Linked DNA regions of Nothobranchius furzeri. The protein of the gene in region 1 interacts with the protein of each later gene in a pairwise test. Links are inferred from orthologs where the notes say so. Each region holds a gene or a part of one and is shown in the gene's direction. Other genes may lie near its edges.

The links.
Region 2: the proteins of rufy1 (region 1) and rab3ip interact in binary tests that used the Homo sapiens proteins (3 or more experiments, as listed by UniProt). The two-hybrid records come from large-scale screens. The link is inferred for Nothobranchius furzeri from reciprocal best matches to the Homo sapiens genes RUFY1 and RAB3IP.
Region 3: the proteins of rufy1 (region 1) and ras-related protein Rab-39B interact in binary tests that used the Homo sapiens proteins (3 or more experiments, as listed by UniProt). The two-hybrid records come from large-scale screens. The link is inferred for Nothobranchius furzeri from reciprocal best matches to the Homo sapiens genes RUFY1 and RAB39B.

What each region holds. Positions count from the first base shown.
Region 1 is NC_091741.1:103,293,944-103,297,700, forward strand, and holds the start of rufy1 (RUN and FYVE domain-containing protein 1), read left to right. Parts: upstream 1-1,320; 5' UTR 1,321-1,551; coding exon 1,552-1,870; intron 1,871-3,757. UniProt on the Homo sapiens protein: Activating adapter involved in cargo sorting from early/recycling endosomes. Regulates retrieval of proteins from endosomes to the trans-Golgi network through interaction with the dynein-dynactin complex.
Region 2 is NC_091741.1:38,168,698-38,172,354, forward strand, and holds part of rab3ip (rab-3A-interacting protein), read left to right. Parts: intron 1-1,541; coding exon 1,542-1,754; intron 1,755-1,828; coding exon 1,829-1,957; intron 1,958-2,212; coding exon 2,213-2,439; intron 2,440-2,589; coding exon 2,590-2,689; intron 2,690-2,952; coding exon 2,953-3,022; intron 3,023-3,657. UniProt on the Homo sapiens protein: Guanine nucleotide exchange factor (GEF) which may activate RAB8A and RAB8B. Promotes the exchange of GDP to GTP, converting inactive GDP-bound Rab proteins into their active GTP-bound form.
Region 3 is NC_091742.1:80,053,533-80,057,289, forward strand, and holds the start of ras-related protein Rab-39B, read left to right. Parts: upstream 1-1,161; 5' UTR 1,162-1,396; intron 1,397-1,473; 5' UTR 1,474-2,077; intron 2,078-3,757. UniProt on the Homo sapiens protein: The small GTPases Rab are key regulators of intracellular membrane trafficking, from the formation of transport vesicles to their fusion with membranes.

The sequences.
Region 1 (3,757 bases):
AAATGGGAGAGATGCCATTGACTCTTAAGTTACTGAAATTAAATTATTGGGCTAGTGTTCAAGGTAGTGAAGAGGATGAGCATATGGTTACGGGAGAGATGAAAGTAGGAGGGCAATGTTTGTATGGCAAGTATGAGAGTATGGTCTGGAAATCGTATAAATTGGCGGAAGCCTTTAAATTAAATGATAAAGTTGTTATTAAGAAATGTCTATATTCGCCTACTCCGTTTTGGTTATTTCCAAAAGTAATAATAGATTTTCATATTCAAAATGAAATTAAAATACGGAAAGGTGTGGGAAACTGGGATGATGTTGTGGAAGAAAGGTTAAATGACACATCAAGCATTCATCCCTATTTATACTGACGGGTCGAGAGAGTCAGGAAATATAACGGGATTTTCTTTCTGGATTCCAAAATTAGGTATATATCATAAAAGTTGAACATCTAATAATCTGTCAGTATATACAGTGGAAATGTTAGCCATTTCATTTAGTTTCCAGTGGATAGAACAAAATGGTGTTGGGAATAGTATTATTTGCTCGGACTCCATGTCTGTATTGTTATCAATTAAAGAAATGTCAGCTGATAAGAGGTCAGATATTTTGTATGAGATATTTGAGTGCTTGTTTAGGTTGATGAAGACTAATTCAGAGGTTAGATTTATGTGGGTTCCAGCCCACAGTGGAGTAGAGGGTAATGAAAAGGCTGATTATCATGCAAAGCAGGCAAGAAAACTGGATACTATGATGGAGGTTCTATATAGTGTTGCAGAGGTGAAATCAGTTATTAGACAGCAGATTCTGGATGAATGGCAAGAACAATGGATAAGGGATGTGAAAGGAAGACATTTATACAAATTAAAGGGAAAGGTTGGAAGAATGGAAGTCATTCCAATGAGTAACAGAAATCAAGCAGTGATAACAAGGATGAGAATGGGACATACAGCTTTGAACAGTACGCTTTTTATTCTTGGACGGCATAATACCGGTATGTGTGAATGTGGACGTGATAGGGAAACAGTAGAACATGCATTATGTACTTGTAGAAAATATGTGGGGAATAGGAAAATGTTAGTTGAAAAATTAAAAGTTAAAGGATATAAGAAATATGATTTGAATATTCTGTTAAATGGGGACTAGTGGTTTATAAGTTAGTCACAGACTTTTAAGGAAAAGTGGAATACTTAATAGAATTTAGTTTTTTTTTTGTAGGATACTCCCCACTTCAACTCACACTCCCATTCAGTAGGTGGCGGACATGCACCTGAGAGTTGGTTGCCACCCACCAATTAAACGACAAAAGAGGAAGAAGGTTGAAGGAGGCGGTGTGTGTTTGTTGGGGAAGTGGAGTGAGAGAGTTTATTCGTTTCGTTTAGTTGTTCTTAAACAATACATGCATACATTAGATTAACGTTTTAATATTCTGAAATTTTGCGCCCTGTCCGGCAAATAGCGCCTGCAGGCGAGGCGCTGCTCATCTCGAACAAGCCTGTGTACGGCAGGAGGACTGGTCACTCGAGTTCATGTTCGAAAAGGGAGGCGGAGTCAAACATGGCTGACGAAATATTGGTGATAAACACAGCTGTTGAGGACCACGAAGAAAACCAACACTTAGATGGGGCTGAAGTTTCAGGTCCGGCGGCTCACGGCAGCAACGGTGGGAACTCTGGCGAGAACACGACTCCGTCTGCGGAGGAGAGCAGCTGGTCAGCTCCTATCTTGTCTCTGGCTAGGAAGGCCACGGAGACGATTAGCAGTGGGATGAGCTACGCTACTGCCCCTAGAAAATCATCTCAGGGGTCCGCTACAGGTTCTCCATCGAAGAAAGGGTCCGAAAACTACCTGAACCACTCATCTTTAAACCATACGGGTATGACTCTTTAAATAACAATGAGATCCGACTAAACTAAGTTTCAGTGAGCAGTTACTTCCTCTTGCACTATAGTCAGCTGTCTAAAAACATGACACATACATAGGTGTGTGTGTGTGTGTGTGTGTGTGTGTGTGTGTTTGTGTGTGTGTGTGTGCGTATATATATATATATATATATATATATATATATATATATATACACACACACAGATGTGTGTATATATACATAGATGCGTGTATATACACATGTATATGTTTATATATACACGTATATGTGTATATATACACGTATACATGTGTATATACACATATATATACATGTGTGTATGTATATATATATATATATATACATGTGTGTATGTATATATATATATATATATATATATATATATATATATATATATATAGTGTATTAGGGTTGTCACGGTGTGAAAATTTAACCTCATGGTTGATGTGACCAAAATTATCACGGTTTTCGGTGTGATTGCGGTATTTTTTAAACAGTGTTGCATATGTTCAGAAAGCATTGATAGTCCTGTTCTACACAAACTGAAATAGCTTTGAAAAGGTTTAACAGTGTTTATTAAAGCTAAAATAACACAAAGCCTTAGCAAAAGTGCAACTTTTCACAAGTAAAGGAACAAATAGCTTATTTTTCTGGAACATGTTACAGTAGTCAGTGCAGGTTTAAATTATACAAATCCAAACATTCAAAACATAAACAATATGTAAACAAATCAAAGAAACACCACTTGTCTTCTCATATGCTTGTTTTCTTCATTATCAAAATAAGAATCTAAGGCCCTGTCCACACGTAGCCGGGATCTGCCAAAACGTAGATATTTTTCTACGTTTTGGCCTGTCATCCACACGAAAACGGATCTTTATAAAAACTCCGGCCAAAGTGAAGATCTGCGTTTTCTCCGTTTTGGGTGTCTGCGTGTGGACAGACAAAACCGGAGTTTTAAGGTCTGCAACGTCACTCTCCACGACAAAAAAATGATGACGTCACGTGTGCGACCTGTGTTTACACTAGCCAACAGCATGGAAGCCTTCAGAGCTGCACTCGCTTTATCAATTGTCCAAGTGCTTTTTGCTTGTTTGTTATTGCAAGCGGAATTACTGCTCCTTGCGGAAGACCACAGACGAAGGATGAGGTTAAGAACGGGGGAGGTACTGCCGCCTACAGGTCTGGCATGTCCTAAACAACATATTTATCCGGGTACGTGTGGACAGAGTTTTTTTTTTTAAAACGTGGTGGTGTGGATGCAAGTTTTTGGAGGGGCGGATATTCGTTTTTAAAAAACCCTGGCTACGTGTAGACTAGGCCTAAAACTCCAGTCCACACTTGACGTGAGCACTGTACAAGTCAACCTTAAAAAAATATGTGTTTAAAATAAATAGCCACTTTAAACAAATTACTAAAATAACTACTACACTATGTAATCAAATCCAAATGTTCAAGTATAAATGGCATTGAAAAAAAGTAAACAAGTCAATGGCTAGGAAGTAATTGTATATTTCTCTTCATCATCAACAAATAAGATGCTTCATCCAGCATCATGACTGTCAGCAAGCATGACCATTTATTTCAGGTTGAAATGCAAAAATGTCAACATATTAACCTTGTCTGGTTTAAGATGTGATCTAAGAGAGGAAAGAATATACCCGCTGGCACTGAATATTCCCTCTGATGGAACACTAGTTGCTGGAATACACAAAAGCTTTTTTGCCTGCCTGGTAAGATGAGGCAGCTCTGATGCATGGCCCCTCCACCACACCAGTGGATCATCATCAGCTAGAATGGATGGCAGAGACATGTAGACTTTGACTTCCTCCTTCACTTTATCTTCTGGGGTGGCTGGACCTGAACCCTCTTCAGATC
Region 2 (3,657 bases), about 65 Mb from region 1:
TGATGAGCAGCACACACACATACATACAAAGACACGCACACACACACACACACACTCACACATACGCACACACACATCTAATATCTGTTGTGAGGTCTGCACACATGCACATACACTCGTGCAGTCACACACACACGTACACACAGACACCCACTTACATACACGCATACACGCACACACGTGGGGCGACGGTGGCACAGGAGTTAAGAGCTCGCCCAGTAATCGGAAGGCTGCAGGTTCGAGTCCTGCTCAGTCTGTCGCTGTCGTTGTGTCCTTGGGCAAGACACTTAACCCACGTTGCCTGCTGGTGGTGGTCAGAGGGACCGGTGGCGTCAGTGCTCGGCAGCCTCGCCTCTGTCAGTGCGCCCCAGAGCAGCTGTAGCTACGTTGTAGCTCATCCCCACCAGCGTGTGAATGTGTGTGTGAATGGGTGAATGACCGATTGTGTTGTAAAGCGCCTTGGGGGGTTCCAGGACTCTAGAAGGCGCTATATCAAATACAGGTCATTTATCATTTACATAAAGACACACACACACACACACACACACACACACACACACACACACACACACACACACACACACACACACACACACACACACACACACACACACACACACACACTCATCTAGTATCTGTTGTGAGGACTGTATTTGACTTCCATTCATTTTAGTGACTGGATTGTACCCTAACCCGTAACCCAAACTAGACCTAACGAGTAGAGCTCTGCAACATTGTCCCAAAGTGAGGATCAGCAAAATGTCCTCAGTTTGGTACTAATTGATTAAAAAATGAATGGATTCTTGCTTTGAAGGCCAATAACAGTAATTAACATTTCTCACCTGTTGATTCTGGTTTATGTCAGAAACATGAATAATATAATGTTTGAGTTTCAGGTTGATTAAGCTGGTCCTGCTGGCCGATTCCGATCAGCACCAACTTTAGTTTATTTCAACATTTTAGCGTTGACAAAAAAACGTTTGTTGACCTAAATTAGAAGAAATCACAGATGTTTACTTTTCTTGTCTGAGTCTCAGAAGCGTTGCCGTCGTCTTTCTGCAGCGTTTGTATCGATCCGCTCGTGTTTCTACAGCTGATGTCCATCTGTAAAATCTACGAGTCTCGTGTATTTGAACGTAGTTTTTGCAGCATGTTAAACTTTCCTTCCTGGATCAGAATAAAGCTTAATCTGCTAAAAATAAACTGAAACCTTTCAGGTTAATAAACTTGACAGCCAAAATAAAAAGAGATGAACCCAAAAACCTGTGATGAGAATCGGCTCAAAAGACCTGAAATATCAGGTTTTTGTTCAAATGCACCCGGGTTTTGGAGTCCTCGTCTCCGAACCCTCGCCCCTAAATCGTGCCGTGGACGTTTTTCCTTCCGGAATCAGACGTTTAAAACAAGAATTCTGTTGATCCTGGCTCTTTGGGACAAATCAGAAATCGGTCTCAAAACCAGTATCGGTGCATTTGTGACATGAAGGCAAACCACTTGTTACTGTATTAGGTCTGATACTGTTGGTGATCTCCTGTCATCAGATTGACGTCCTCCAGGCTGAGGTCCAGGCCCTGAAGACACTGGTGCTGTCCTCCCCCACCTCCCCCGTGGCTGACCTCCCCTCTGCAGTGGGGGGAGGAGTTAAAACTCCCTTTAAAAAGGGCCACAGCCGGAACAAGAGCACATCCTCCGCCATTCTGGGGACACAGCCCGACCCGTCGGCCACGCAGCCCATCGTCCGGGAGTGTCGGGAGGTGGGCGTGTCTCCGGCAGTCCTCCTCAGGCAGACGGCTCGGTGCGGACTAATCTCTGGTGTTTACTGTCGCAGGTGGACAGTCAGCTGTTCAGTGAGTTCAAAGTGTGGAAGGAGGAGCCGACGCTGGAGCGGAGCTGCAGCTTCCTGGACAGAGTTTACCGTGAAGACATCTACCCCTGCCTCGCCTTCAACAAGAGCGAGGTACGGAACGTCCTCATCGGGCTTCCCGCCCAGATCAGAACAACCCTGAGACCAGCAGATAGACGTACTTAAGTCCTTTACTTAGAAACAGGATGTATTTCTTCTTCTTGAACGGTGTACGGCAGACTGCCCTGTTGACTGGTTTCCATGGCGACGTGCGGCTCTGATTGGTCCCAGCGCTTTCCAGTTACTGTAGACACTGCCTCGGGACCCGGGGACTTTAGTCTGAGTCTTCTTTCTCTTCCTCTTCCTCAGCTGGGCTCGGCCATCCTGGAGGCCGTGGAGCAGAACACGCTCAGCGTGGAGCCGGTGGGTTTCCAGCCGCTGCCCGTGGTCAAAGCGTCGGCGGTGGAGTGTGGAGGACCAAAGTTAGAACCTACACACTCTCTCTCTCTCTCTCTCTCTCTCTCTTCCCTCCATCATCACGTTTCCATCTTCCCTTTAATTTCCTCCTTTAGTGGACGAAGAGCCGAGCTCGTCACGTAAGTCCGACGTTCAATAATCCTCGACCTGCCTGGCTTTTCCTAACTCCCCTTCAGCTCCTCCTCCTCCTCCTCCTCAGGAAGCACCATCCTCACCTCCTTTACTCCTCTCCCTCCGCTGTTGGAACTAAACTTTTGTCTCGTTGACAGAAAATGTGCCCTGAGCGGTCAGACCAAAACCTGTAAGCACAGAATCAAGTTTGGAGACTCGTCCAGCTATTACTACGTGTCTCCGTTCTGCAGATACAGAGTGAGTGGGTCTCGCAAACATCTGGACGACGAGTCCAGATGTTCACACCATCGGTCGGGGAGATGGAGCTAAAAAAGAAACGCAAAATAGTTCAACCGATGTCTGCTCGTGTCGAGACGTTTACTGACTACGGGATAAAAGCTCGGCGTTTCTATTCCAGTTTAGAACTTAGTCAGCTCTGATTGGCTAGAAGGGTGATGATGTCATCGTCTAACAGGAGTTTTAGACAAACTGATGCAGGTTTTTGATTCTTTTATCTTTAGATCACAGCCGTGTGCAACTTCTTCACTTACATCCGTTACATCCACCAAGGACTCGTCAAGCAGCAGGATGGTGAGATGTACACACACACACACACACACACACACACACACACACACACACACACACACACACACACACGCTCATGTTCCCTCACTCACACGTTAGATGGGTCAGACCCGGTTTTAGGGGTGCAACAGATCATCACTGATGGATCTTTCTGCGGTTCGGCACGCACACGGTTTGCGGGTCGGCCACGTGGAGGACGGTGGGCTGCCTGCTGAGTCCAACGGAGAGACGCACACCGGTGGCCATGACGGAGGAGAGGAGCTTGAAAAACCACCTGCGTCCTTTAGATCACGTGTATGGGAGCATTTTGTCTCCACTGTAAAATACGACGACGATACGAACGGTGAAAATGATCCCGCGCCTCCAGTCTTAACGGCACCGCGCCGCACACACACCTCCGATCGCTGTGGAAGGATGGAGGGGTGGTGTGTGAAACATGCCTTGGACATAACAAACATGGCCGGACCTGTGATTGTTGTTGGGGACGACTCTGTAAAAGAGGGCAAAAGAAAAGTAAACGACATCCGAAAGGTGAGGAGAGGAGTGAAAGCTGGACACGAAGGGAGAGCGTGCCTAATGGGGCAAGCCGTTTTAACATTTAATCAGTAATCAGACCTCTCTGTAATTCCTGCTCAGTG
Region 3 (3,757 bases), on another chromosome or scaffold:
TGCACTAGATTAACTATTAACTAATCTTTTACTTGCTCACATTTTCTAAACACTTCAAAAATATGTTGGCCAATGTTTCAGATCAATATGTCATGCAGGGCAAACAGCAATGACCTCATTTAATCCACCCACCTGTCAACATATTTTATTAATTTAGTTAAACATCTAATCTTAGCTTGAGATGTTATTTTTAAGAAAAATGTTTTAAATATCAAAACTTTTCATCAACATTTCATTCAACAGACTGTTAAAATGATATGAAAAAGGCAAAAATATTTTGATGCTTCTGAATGACCAGTTTATTTCTGTTTTAAAGTGATTCTTTTTTTTCCAAAACACACACACACACACACAGTGGAGTACATTTGTTTTTTTTTTAATAATAAATGACTGCAAAGTAACATACAAGAGGCCACAAGTATAGCATTTTTTTACACACAAACCTTTCCTGGGTACAATTTTTTTATTTACTTATTTTCCCCCTTTCATTTTTGTCCTATTTGTCATATTTATTTGATCATCTGTAAGTCTGAAAGCTATTTTTCAGATGGGCAGTTTGTGTAATTTCAAGAGGCGTCTCTTTATGGGGGGAGGCTGGGGTTAAACAAAGGCCACACCAAACCATCAATTTTCTCATGCATTTTCTCCATGCAGGGTCACGGGGGGCTGGTGCCTATCTCCAGCAGTCAACGGGCAAACAAGTGGGGTACATGGACAGATTGCCAGTCCATCGCAGGGCAACACAGAGACACACAGGACAAACAACCATGCACACACACACATCTAAGGATAATTTAGACAGACCAATTAACGTGACAGTCATGTTTTTGGACTGTGGGAGGAAGCTGGAGAACCTACACACACACACAGGAAAAACATGCAAACTCCATGCAGAAAGATCCCAGGCTGGGATGAGATCTCAAGACCTTCCTGCTGCAAGGCAACAGCGCTAACCACTGCTCCACCAAACCAATAACTTTTAATTAACGCAAAAATAAATAATTTTTTATTATTATTTGTCAAACACATAAACTCACAATAGGAGTTTTTTTAGGCCATTAAACAACTTAACACGTTTTTTCTGCTTGCATGTATATAAGACTACAATTCCCGCTGGCAATAGCGCGAACGGTGACCACTTCCGCGACTGCGCACTGCAGCTACAGCTCAGGGACAGATTGTGCAACTTCCTGGCTGTTGTTCGACTCTCCTAAGAAAAATAAACGCTTCAAACACGTTTAAAAGCGTTCAGATTTTAAACTCGTTGTTGGATAACATGTTTATTTAGAATGTCATCCACTGTGAGGCTTATTGTAGCAAGTTTAAGAGGCTAAATATTAGCCACGTGATCTAGCTACATTTGCACTGTCACTGCTGATATGTCGAGAGTTTTATGGTCAGAAAACAAACATATCATTTGTCTGTTTATGTGACGCTGGATAACATATAAACACGTCTGTGTATTTTTTTTAGCTCCGTTTCGCAGTTAAGGAAGTGTTCGGAGTTTCTCGTTGCGGCCGTGCTCGCTCCTTTACGGTAGTAGTGGTACTGATGCGGGATGAGTCAGGCTATATGATGCTGCTCCTCCCGCTGCCATTTCATCAGCAGCCAAAAGCTACAAACACTCAGCAAACACAGAAGTGATACGGTGGGATTCCCCCTCCTTTCTCCACGTCCGACGGGTCCAGGCAGAAACAGCTGCCGAAAAGAAGAACAACGGACTCGGGAAGCACGTGAGAGTGAAATCCGGTGTGTTTTTAAAGCTGCACCTGCTCTGAATGCGTTTTTTCTTCAGCGGGCCTGGCACTGGGACACAATTAGCCCTTGACTCCGGGGCCCTGCTTTGGCTACATCTGTTTTGTGTTCGAGTTTCAGGTTAAACATCGAGTGTTTTGCTTTTATCGTTTATTTTTTGACGCCGTGATCTCGCTGCACCCCGAGCATCGATCCAGCCAGACTAGTCGGAGCCATGGAGCCGGCCTCATCCAGGTCCTGATCGGCGTAAAGAAGAGCAACAACCAGGGCCTAAAGCGAAGTCCTCTCTTGCTTTAAACAGGCTCCGTCTCCTCACAATCAGGTCTGTCTTCTAATACTAACCTTTCAATCGGTTCAGCAGCACACGAGTTAACTTTGTCAACCATTTTCAAAGATTAAATTACCGTACTTGGACTAGTTAATGAAAAAGTGTTTTAACTGATAGTTAATCATCAACAGGACCGTGGATTTTGGGAAATGTTGCTGTTAAAATCACCTTTGATTCACTAAACGCACGATCATCTAAAAACAAACAAACATTGTTTACTCAAATATGTGGCAAGCCGTTATAGGACATAATTATACCACACTTCTATTTTAAAAATGATAGACTTCTTAATAATTAGAATAATAATTATAATTCATGTAAAATTACTTTCCAGCATGTAAACATTAATCCTCAGTTAGTACGTCAATATGTTTTTTAAACTCTGATATGTCACTATTATTATTATTTTTTGTTCAACGTTAAACCATAAGCACATAGTATTAGTTGGTGAAGCGTCTTGTCCTGGTTCCATTGATCAAAAATGTGTAAAAATACACTGCTTACTTGTACTGCCATATTGTATTTGTAGACCCGGCACACACTCAGAACAGCCGACCTACTGACACTCACTCCCCAAAACCACAGCGCTTTTAAAGCGTCACATCACGACTAACTGTGTTGAAAAAATTCATATTAAAAATCTGGTAGCACGTTTTCCCGCATTCCTCCATAAATATTAACCGTGATTTTGTAGAGTTTTGTAATGACAATGTTGCCCATCATTAATTAAATCCTGATGTTAAGCGGTACATAATGTAATAGACACGTTTTATTTCCACGCTCCCTTGCCACAGGTAGCAATTAAGATGCAAAATGGCTGCAAAAGCGTTCCACACATCTGGTTTTGCGAGGTCACAAAATCACCAGATAATTCTGCAGTTCAGGTGGTTAAGTTAAAGTCCCATTAGTCATCATCACACACTGGTGAAATTACATCTCTGCTTTTGACCCATCCCCGTGGGGAGCGGTGAGCTGCAGCTGTGGCTAGGGCTGCTCGATTATGGCAAAAATAATAATCACGATTATGGTGACTGAAATTGAGATCTCGATTATTTAGGACGATTTTTCAATTTATGTTGATTTTATTTGTTTTTATTCAGTCATAAAATTGCTCAGGGCACAATCAGGACAAAAATAAATAAGAAACAAGATGATCACTAAAATAACTCCTGATTCCCAGTAAAAAAAGACCAATATACTTGTAGCTCATAGTCTATGACCCAAGGGCTATAGACCTTGGTTTAACTCATTCAAGTCTAACCAGTACAGACCCAAATACCAATATCTTGCAAATACTGACAGCAAGAATTATACAGTGGCATTTATAACAAATAAATGCAAAAAAATTGATGTTCACAAAATGTTGCATAACATTTATTGAGTCGTGTCAATGTGCTGTAGGAGAGTACACTAGCACCGTGTCCTCAGAGAGATTAGTTATTTATCAGCGTGAGGAAGTTATTTCTACCTTATTTATAAACTATTTATTTACAAGTCGTCCATCAGTTAATGTAATAATTGTCCCAACCACAGCTGCACCCCCCACCCGGTCTCACAGCAATTGGGGCAAGCTGTACGTGTGTTTAGCGCACCGCACATTTAGCCGTTTTTAGTGGCTCAGGAGTCCGCAGGTGCGGTGTGTGTGTCACTCACTTTGGTTACTCCAACAGGGAG